2 linked regions of the Ovis aries genome follow. Each later gene encodes a partner of the first gene's protein in a complex. Links are inferred from orthologs where the notes say so. Each region holds a gene or a part of one and is shown on either strand. Other genes may lie near its edges.

The links.
Region 2: the proteins of CCKAR (region 1) and CCK are in contact, whole or in part, in a cryo-EM structure (PDB 7MBX), measured with the Homo sapiens proteins. The link is inferred for Ovis aries from reciprocal best matches to the Homo sapiens genes CCKAR and CCK. Residues at the interface, in NP_000721.1 of Homo sapiens: Cys94, Phe97, Asn98, Pro101, Asn102, Lys105, Asp106, Phe107, Thr118, Met121, Gly122, Val125, Tyr176, Phe185, Asn194, Met195, Cys196, Arg197, Phe198, His210, Leu213, Leu217, Ile329, Phe330, Ala332, Asn333, Arg336, Ala343, Glu344, Leu347; in NP_000720.1 of Homo sapiens: Asp96, Tyr97, Met98, Gly99, Trp100, Met101, Asp102, Phe103.

What each region holds. Positions count from the first base shown.
Region 1 is NC_056059.1:46,498,847-46,503,290, reverse strand, and holds the start of CCKAR (cholecystokinin receptor type A), read left to right. Parts: upstream 1-1,415; 5' UTR 1,416-1,443; coding exon 1,444-1,555; intron 1,556-2,231; coding exon 2,232-2,483; intron 2,484-4,444. UniProt on the Homo sapiens protein: Receptor for cholecystokinin. Mediates pancreatic growth and enzyme secretion, smooth muscle contraction of the gall bladder and stomach. Has a 1000-fold higher affinity for CCK rather than for gastrin.
Region 2 is NC_056072.1:14,569,771-14,574,250, reverse strand, and holds the start of CCK (cholecystokinin), read left to right. Parts: upstream 1-1,512; 5' UTR 1,513-1,577; intron 1,578-2,630; 5' UTR 2,631-2,632; coding exon 2,633-2,846; intron 2,847-4,480. UniProt on the Homo sapiens protein: This peptide hormone induces gall bladder contraction and the release of pancreatic enzymes in the gut. Its function in the brain is not clear.

The sequences.
Region 1 (4,444 bases):
AGATAGAACACATAGGACTGTCAGCTGAGAAAGCTGTCAAAGCACGAGGGATCCCTGAAGTGTCTCGATAGGTCTCAGCTCAGCTGAGCAGCTGTGAGCAACATAGAGCCTCTGCTGTCACCTGCTGTCCCAAAGGTCTCAGCAGAGGACACCACATGTACGAAGGGGCTGGAGGAGCTTGCTGGCACCACAAAGCCTCACAGAAAGCCCAGAGCCCTGGCCAGGCCCCCATCTCTAACCCCATCTCCCACCGTTGGCCCCTCATTCATTCCTACTTCTAACTATTCCTCAAACAGGCCAAGTTCATTCCCATGCAGGGCCTTTGCTCTTGCTGTGACCTCTGCCCAAAAGACTGCTCCTCCTGCCTAGAAGCAGCTTTCCCCAGTTGTCCCAAGCCTTCCTGCTCCTTGTCATCCAGCTCTCCAATCTTGGTCCCTTCCTGTGAGAGGCCTTTCCTGACCATCCCATCTAAATGAGCAACACCCCCCCCCACACACACACACACACACACAATCCATCATTCCTCTCCATTATATCTTCCTGCTTGACTTCCTCTGTGGTGCTTTACACATCTGAAATGATCTTGTTCATTATTTGCTTATATGCTTAGAGAAGTACCTGGCAAGCGGAAGGCACTCAGTGAACATGTGCTGAATGAATGGACGAATGCATAAACGAATGAATGGAAAATCTTACTAAGTGTTTTCTATATTAAGGATCCGAGCACCTACAGCCAGGGCACCCCCTCCTTTCAGTTACCAGGGGCAGAGACCACAAGAAATAACCCTGTGGTTGGTAACAACTTAACAACCAGCCAGCAGTTATATCCACACACATTGCTGGGCATGGTTCCAAAGCTAAAAGGCACTAATTGCTTTTATATAAGGAGGTAGAAACACAGTCCCTCCGTGTCCTTTAGTCCTGATGCTCTGCATGTCGGTGTCTGTCGCCGTGTTCATCGCTCCTGTCTCACACAGCCAGTTTGAGCTTTATTCTGCCTATGTCTGGGACGGTGACAGGTTCCTAGACAGAGGAGAGAGGAACTGTGTCCCTGTATGTGTGTGTCCACGTGTGTGTGCACGTGTGCAGAAAAGCAGTGACGCTCTGGGAAGGGTTAACTCGCAACCAGGCTGCCTGTGCTCAGGGCCCTACGGCTGGCCCAGGAATGGGGTGGGCCTGGAAGGTGGAGCGGGCTTGATTCACATCAGCTGCTCTTTCCAAGACAGGAGTGCAAATGCCTGCCCAGCTGGCCTGAGCGTGCTGAACTCCAGTCGCCTTTAAGAATGGTTGCAGGAGCCCACACCTGGCAATCACTCCCCCTACCCCCCTGCCTCTCCACAGCAGGTTGCATCTGGGAGACTATCCGGTCAGTCATTAGAGGAATGAGCCGAGAGTGAGCCGTTCACCAGCTTGCCAGCACTTGGTGGAAAGCAGCAGGCAAGCATGGAAGTGGTTGACAGCCTTCTCATGAATGAAAGCAACCTGACTCCCCCCTGTGAACTGGGGATCGAAAATGAGACGCTTTTCTGCTTGGATCAGCCCCGTCCTTCCAAAGGTAGGTGTCAGAGGCTGTTATCTGAATTCAGAAAACCTTAAGTTTGTGGGAAAAATCAGCAAAGGCAAGGCTGACTGTGAAAACAGAACACAGTCCTAATGAGACGAAGCTGGATAAAGTCATCTGCTCAGAAGTTTGGATGAGAGATCTAAAAGCAGAACTGAGTCCAGTGCTCTTGTTGTTCCCCATGGGAGAGTTGGGATTAATGTATAGGACTTGGGGGGCACAAAAGCAGCGGGAGGAGGAGCTGAAGTGGAGCCAGAGGGAGTACAAGTGTAAAAGCTGGAACTTACAGCATCGCAGAAAAGGCGCTGTCACAGTCTAGCTGTCGCCTTTCCTTGGGGGAAATCAGTGTGAAGAAGTGATTAAATCGAAATAATGCTTAGCAGCTAGGAAAGAAAGCAAATCACTGGAGGAGCTTTGTTCTTAAGAAAAAGTGGTTCCCCAAGTGAGTGATCCGTTAACAGACCAGCCTTTCAGAAGCAACTGAATCACTCTGTGCTCTCCTTGCTTTGTTTCTGCAAAATATCTAAGTATGGGGAGAGCTGGGTTCGGTGATGCACACCCCTGAAAATACAAACCGGCGGGAAATAAGTGTTCACTTGGTGTGCTAGGGTTTTAACATTCTGCCCTCACCACCTGCATCTCTCCGTCTTGTCCGGGTTCCTCCTTGCAGAGTGGCAGCCGGCCGTGCAGATTCTCTTATATTCCTTGATATTCCTGCTCAGCGTGCTGGGAAACACACTGGTCATTACGGTGCTGATTAGGAACAAGAGAATGAGAACAGTCACCAACATTTTCCTCCTCTCCCTGGCTGTCAGCGATCTCATGCTTTGTCTATTCTGCATGCCATTCAACCTCATCCCCAACCTGCTCAAGGATTTCATCTTCGGGAGCGCTGTTTGCAAGACCACCACCTACTTCATGGGTGAGTTGCTGCTGGTGCCTATTTCTGGAGTTTCACCCTTAATCAGTGAAACTCAGTCCCAGACCTTCCCTAACCCCTGACAGCCTCCACAGAGAAGCCCTGATGGGTGTACAGAACAAAACATCTGACTGTATGGGGCTGGGTACAAGGACAGAGGAGCTGGCTTTATGGGAGGGTCAGTCCTCATAACGCCCCAGAAGTCAGTCCCCAGTCTTAGGGGACCAGTTCCTCAAAGTGGAATAAGTTGGTAAGAAACTACAGAAGACACTGGTTTTGCTTGCTTCTGTTAGAAAGACAGACAGATTCAAGCTGATCTGTGCCTTCCTGGAAGGCATTGATTGTACTCTGAGCTCTACCCAACCCAAGGCATGGTTTTTGGGGTGACCAGACTGCTGGAAGAAGGCTTTTTCTGCTACCATTCTGGCGCTTATAGGGAACAGGGTTATTCAAAATCCAGTTTCACCAGAGGTCTAGATTCCCTTCTCAGGATTCACTTTCCAGCCTGTTTTCACAGAGGCTGGGACCATCTTAGGCAGAAAGAGAGAGAGAACCTCTACCACAAATACAACAAGTTGAATTTGCTGCCAGTGCCTAGGTGGATAAGCTGACCCTGATTGACTGAGATATGCAGCTCGCTGCCTTTGCCAATCAGAATGATGGTGATGATGAAAAATCATAAGAGCTAATGTCTTTGAGTACATTTTTTTTTGAGTACCAGATGTTCTACTAATTGCTTTAAGTTTTTACTTCCATGATCATATTTTATCTCACAACCACTCTATGAAGTATACACAGTTATTCTTCCCTGTCTCACTGAGAGGGGAACAGAGGCATAGAGAGGTTAATAATGTGCCCAAGGACACACAGGTGGTAAGCCACAGAGCTGACTTGAACCCCAATTGGTGGCCACTACAATGGCGAGTAAATACACAGCCTCATTTTGCCAACTGCTGTGGCTCATCTGAGGCTGAAACAAGGCATTTCTCTGGGCCCCTCCACCTGCCAAAATGCTTCCTCTCTTGCCCATTCTGAGAGCTGGTTGCGGGACGGGGAGAAGAGGTGGGAAATGAAGAAGGAGTTGGTTGTTCTGACCTAAGCCCTGCAAAATACGCAGAGCTGAGCTGCCTAGGGCAGCCTTCAGTGACCAGAAAGCTTCAAAAGCCTTTATTTCTTCCAACTGAGGAAGCAGGATCCAGCGCTGACAAAACGATGATGAATGGCTGATCTACATGCCATGGACAAATAACCGAGAAAGTGTCAGGCTGGGTCCAAGTACTCGAAAAAGAAAAATGGACTCACAAACGAAAAGGATTGTTGTTAAACAATGACGCAATAATAATAACCAACATCTCACAGTGCCTCAGGCTTTCAAGGGCTGTCTGTATATATCCTACGGTAATATTTAATCATTTTAACCAGGGTTTATGAAAGGAGATTAAAAATGAGTCCTTGTGTAGTTGCACAATATCAGTGTGCTAAATGCAGCAGTTGTTCACTTTAAAATGATTAATTTTATGTTATATGAATTTTACCTCAATTAAAAAAATGTTTTAAAATAGCTGGGGTCTGAGGCTAGGAACCTTAACACTCTTTCTGAAAATACCCAGTACAGACTGTTCTAGAAAATGAGAAGCAAGATACTTCTAAAAGTGTTTGCAATACTATAATGGTTTTGTTGGATTTCTGATTCCAGTCATTTCAATTCTCCCCTAATTTCATGTTCTTAACAATTAACACGCATTAAATTCCTAATACATAGCCAAAAGGGCTTCCCAGGTGGCTCAACGGGTAAAGAAACTGCCTGCAATGCAGGAGACACAGCAGACATAGGCTTGATCCCTGGGTTGGGAATGACCCCTGGAGGAGGACATGGCAATTCGCTGCAGTATTCTTGCCTGGAGAATCCCATGGTCAGAGCAGCCTGCCAGGCTACAGTCCATAGAGTCCCAAAGAGTCGAACA
Region 2 (4,480 bases), on another chromosome or scaffold:
TGTTTGAGCAAGCCCCTTAGGTGATTATGCTCCATAACAACTTCATGTTCTCAGACATGCCTTGACCACAGTCACAAATAAAACTAGTTTCACCAAGTGAACTTACACAGTAGCCTCCTTGGGAAAACCACTGGGAAGCATCTAATCTGCAACTCTGTTTCAAAAATGTTGCCTTTAGATTGCAGAAATGCAGCAGCCTCTAGAGTTTAAAAAGGGGGACAGCAACCACAGGCATCTCCCCACCAAGTGTCAGGCTCCCCACCCACTTCAACACCACAGTCTCACCATCCCAGGAGCTGAGTACAGATTCTGATTTGAAAGAATCAGGTCCAAATCTTTCTCCAGGAAGGGAAAAGGCGGGAGGGGCGGGTGGCTACCCTCAAGTCTCAGCCTGCTGAGACTCCAGGAAACTGTGGAGAAGCCTTGGCCAGTTGCTGCTTCTGTTGGCTCCCCGGTTGCTGAAATGGGGTTGTCAGTAATTTTGCAGCACCGGGAGAACTGGAGCACTAACTAGATGACTCTAACCCAAAGGGCTTCAGGGCGGAGGTGAGTGTAGACCCCTATGGCGCACTGGCCGGGGGCGCGACCCCGCAGGGAAGGGCGCACAGCTGCCGCGGCGCCTCCCTTGTCCCCACTAGGGGGGTGAGTGACAAGAGCGAGGTCTTTATTTCAAAGACGGCGGGGACCGGCCCAAGTGTAAAAGCTGGGAAAGATGGAACTGGCGGATGCCGATGCCAGAGGGGAACGGCGATTGAGCGGCTTTTGAGGACACTCTCTGGTGCCGCTTGGCGACAGGAGCTGCGGGCGCCGCGGGCAGGAGGTAGCTCCGCTTGGAAGAAAACACAGCCCTTTCCCAAACTCCGGGCAAAGCCCAATAGCCTCATCCTCGTTTCACAGCTACGTAAAGCAGAGTCCGCGACACCCGCAGCCAGCCGTGGAGGAGCCCTTTCGCTGACCCAGGGACCCTTGCCCTCGGGATCCTGGGATCAAGGGGCTGAGAACAAAGTTTAAAAACCAGAGCAGCCTGGGATGCTCCAAGAGGGGCCGACATTTCCACCATCTCAGAATTACACTTTGCTGACACCCAGCGCTGTCTAGTGCCACCCCATCCTATCCCGGGTTTCCTTTCCCGCGCCTCTGGTCCCCAAAGCGAACTGTAGGCGCGCGGCGGCTTCTCCATCCCGCAGGAGAGTCCCATTCCTAGGTCTCCCACCCTGAAGACGGGGAGCTTCGCGCTGGAATGGGCAAGGCAGAGGGGGTGCACGGAGCTGGGGGAGGAAGTCCCCCCGACCGAGACGCGGCTGACGCCACCCACCCCGCCACCCACCCGGCTCCACAGGGCCATTGCCCCCCCCCCCCCCCCCCCCAGGCAGCCACCTCAATCTATTGTCGCCCCGGCGGCCGCCCTCGGAGCACGTGCCGCTACCCTCTGCGTCAGTACTGGGTAAACAGATGACTGGCCAACGACTCAGGCGGGGCTATTTAAGAGGCAGCCTCCTGCCCGCCTACCTTGAACTTGGCTCAGCTCCCCCGCTGCTCTGGCTGGACCGCGAAGCCGGCTGCGTCCTATTCCGAAGGTAGGTTCCCGGCTCTCGGGGATCCAAGTGTCCTCGAAGAATGATTCTTCACTTCTGTTCCCCTTCCATTTCATTTTACTGTTTACGGTGTCTTCTTTCCGACAGCTCGAAAGACATTTCTCCAAGTCACAAAGGACAGTGCGGGCTGGGTGGATAGAGCTGGTTTACAGACTTCTACTCGCTTGATTTGTTCTCCAGCGCAGGCAACGCTGGAGCATCTATTTGCTCGGGTTAGCCGGCAAATTGCGATTCGCTAGGTGTTACACAGCGGTCCAGTGTACTTTGCAATCTTTTCAAATATACTACCGAGAGGTTTTAAATTTAAATTCATTTTCTGAATGCTGCGGGAAAACTCAAGGTTTGAGGGATAGAACTATCCCAGTGTTTCATCTGCGCGGATCTAAAACGCAGCGGTGCTTGGCGGACGCCGGAGGACTGAGCGCAGATTTCTGATTTTTTTAAAAGCCTGCCTGTGTTTCACATAGTTGTTCTTGCCAATTCCCATTTGCACCTTGAGGAAACTTGAAAAATACGGCTTTTATGTATTGGTCTCATATTTCAAGCCGTGCTTCTCAGTGTTTCACCATTTATTTCCCTGGTTGAAGCGTCTTAGCTCTCTGGTAAGGTGCCTCTTTTCTAAAACCAAGGCTCTTATTTTTCCTACAGAGTCGTCCCTTTCGGATAATTTTCACCTGTCTTTAATCTCTTGTTTTTCCAGTTAGGAGAAGAGAGACGACGCTGTAACACTTCCTCAAACTAAAGGAAAACCGAAGACATTCCTTCTGCTAAACAGGGCAGAGGACAGGGTCTCTCTCCGTCCCCCACACCACTCCCGGGCCCCGGATTGCGGTTCACCCCAAAGAGGAACGCGGTGCGCCCGGACGCGCATGCTGGGGTCACCGGCTCCCTAGTGCTGGCACCTGCCTGGCGGATCCGGAGCCCCGCGCCTTTGGGCTGAGCCCCCTTCTCTGTACCTTGGGTGTCCGACCCTCCTCAAGAGCCCGCGGATGCCCCACCTTTTCGTTCACGTCCCCTTCCCTCTGCTCCCCGCAGCCATGAACCGCGGCGCGCGCCTGTGCTTGCTGATGGCGGTCCTGGCGGCGGGCGCCCTGGCGCAGCCGATGCCTCACGCGGACCCCACGGGCCCTCCGGCGCAGCAGGAGGAGGAGGCGCCCCGGAGGCAGCTGAGGGCGGTGCCGAGGGTGGACGACGAGTCCAGAGCACACCTGGGCGCGCTGCTGGCCAGGTACATCCAGCAGGCTCGGAAAGGTACGCAGGCCGCCTCTCTGTCCCTCCCTTCTGCCTCCAGGCCTGACCCTCTTCTCTGCCATCGGGCTGGTGAAGGTGGGTGACTCCTGGGGAGTGAAGGGTTACTTGGGCAACACGATAAGGTGAAAGGTCTTTAACTTTCTTTTCTCTGATTCTGCTTGCCCCAGACAGTGCAGTTTTCTGTACCTCCTTTGTAGCAAGCTGAGAGGGAAGGGGGCAGGACTTAACTTATTAAGAGAAGGCTTTCTTTAAACTTTTTGGCACTGTGTTGCTGTTTAGGTTCAACATATTGTAAAGATATTAAAAGATGATTACTGAGCGAATTACTAACTCAGAAAGAGTTTGCAGATCCAATAAACACCCTCTGCTGTAAATATAAAGGACCCAGGAGCTGCCCAGCTACTGCATTTGGAAACCCTCTAGCAGGCAATGGTCAGTTGCAAGAATACTTGAGAGCTGACAGCAACAGTCCAAGAAGTGACTGTGTGTTAATTTTCATGGAAGTATGTAGCAGGAAGAAAGAATCAGGAGCAGTTTTGAGTCCTCTTTGAGCAGCGGCTTAAGATGATGACCCAGCAAGAGATGTGTTTATTTTTACTTTGCTGTTGGAGACACAGACCCAAATGCGGCAAGAGCTAAACAAGTCACACTTTCCTCAGCATCAAAATCTTTCTCTAGGAATAAAGTAATTCAGCAACTCAGTAGCTGAGTGGCATACAGACAGCCCTGTCCCTGTCCTGGGCCTGACTGTCTCATCTGTAAAGAGGGTATGAGGTGGGGTTCCCCTTGGCTCCTTCTAGCTCTTCATGAGACTCAGGGGGAGGCTCATTCAACTCTGGGGTCCTTAGAAATCATGATTTGAACTGGGACAGATTTTTTTTTTCCTATCAACTTTATCTAAAGTGACACTAATGGTGAAGCTGTGTTTTAAATTGGACCAATATGGCTGGATGATAAACCAGCAAATACTGCTGGGAGAGGTGGGAGGTGGGCTCCTTTCCCACAAGGCTCTCTTAACATTAATTGCTGGGGTTCTGGGGCCTGGATTTGAACTTTAACTTGTGGCTTGATGAAATGGGGAGAAAATAGAGGGTTTGGCTCTCCAGAGTCTCCTACAATTCCATAGGAAAGTGAGAAGGGACATTTTTGACCAGGACAATTCAGAAGGGAAAAAAATAGAAGACGATGCATTACATTTCATCCTCTTATTGGGGGATTGTCCCAACTACCATCTTCTATTTTGCTTTCCTCCTAATTATATTGAAAGATGTGGAAATATTAGACAGACGACAGAGAATGTCTGAAAATTTGGAGGTTCCTGCTGACTGTCTGTGTGAAAGTAGTTTAAAATCTGTCCTTGGATATGGGTTGAATATCCTAGGTTTTTCATTGACCATAATCTGGAAGCCCCTTCCTACCTTCAGGAAAGATCCTCCAGAAACTGTTCTGGGAAAGAAGCCAGTTACCAAATGATTTCCCCAGAACTGACACTTCACAGTGACTTCATACCACAACTCTTAGCTGGAAGGGCCTTCCTGCTGTCTTTTCTCAGCCCTTTGCCTTCAGCCTGCAGTGACAAACAAACCCATATGGGAAGAATCATCACTTGAAACTTTAGCTGCCAACACCAAGGA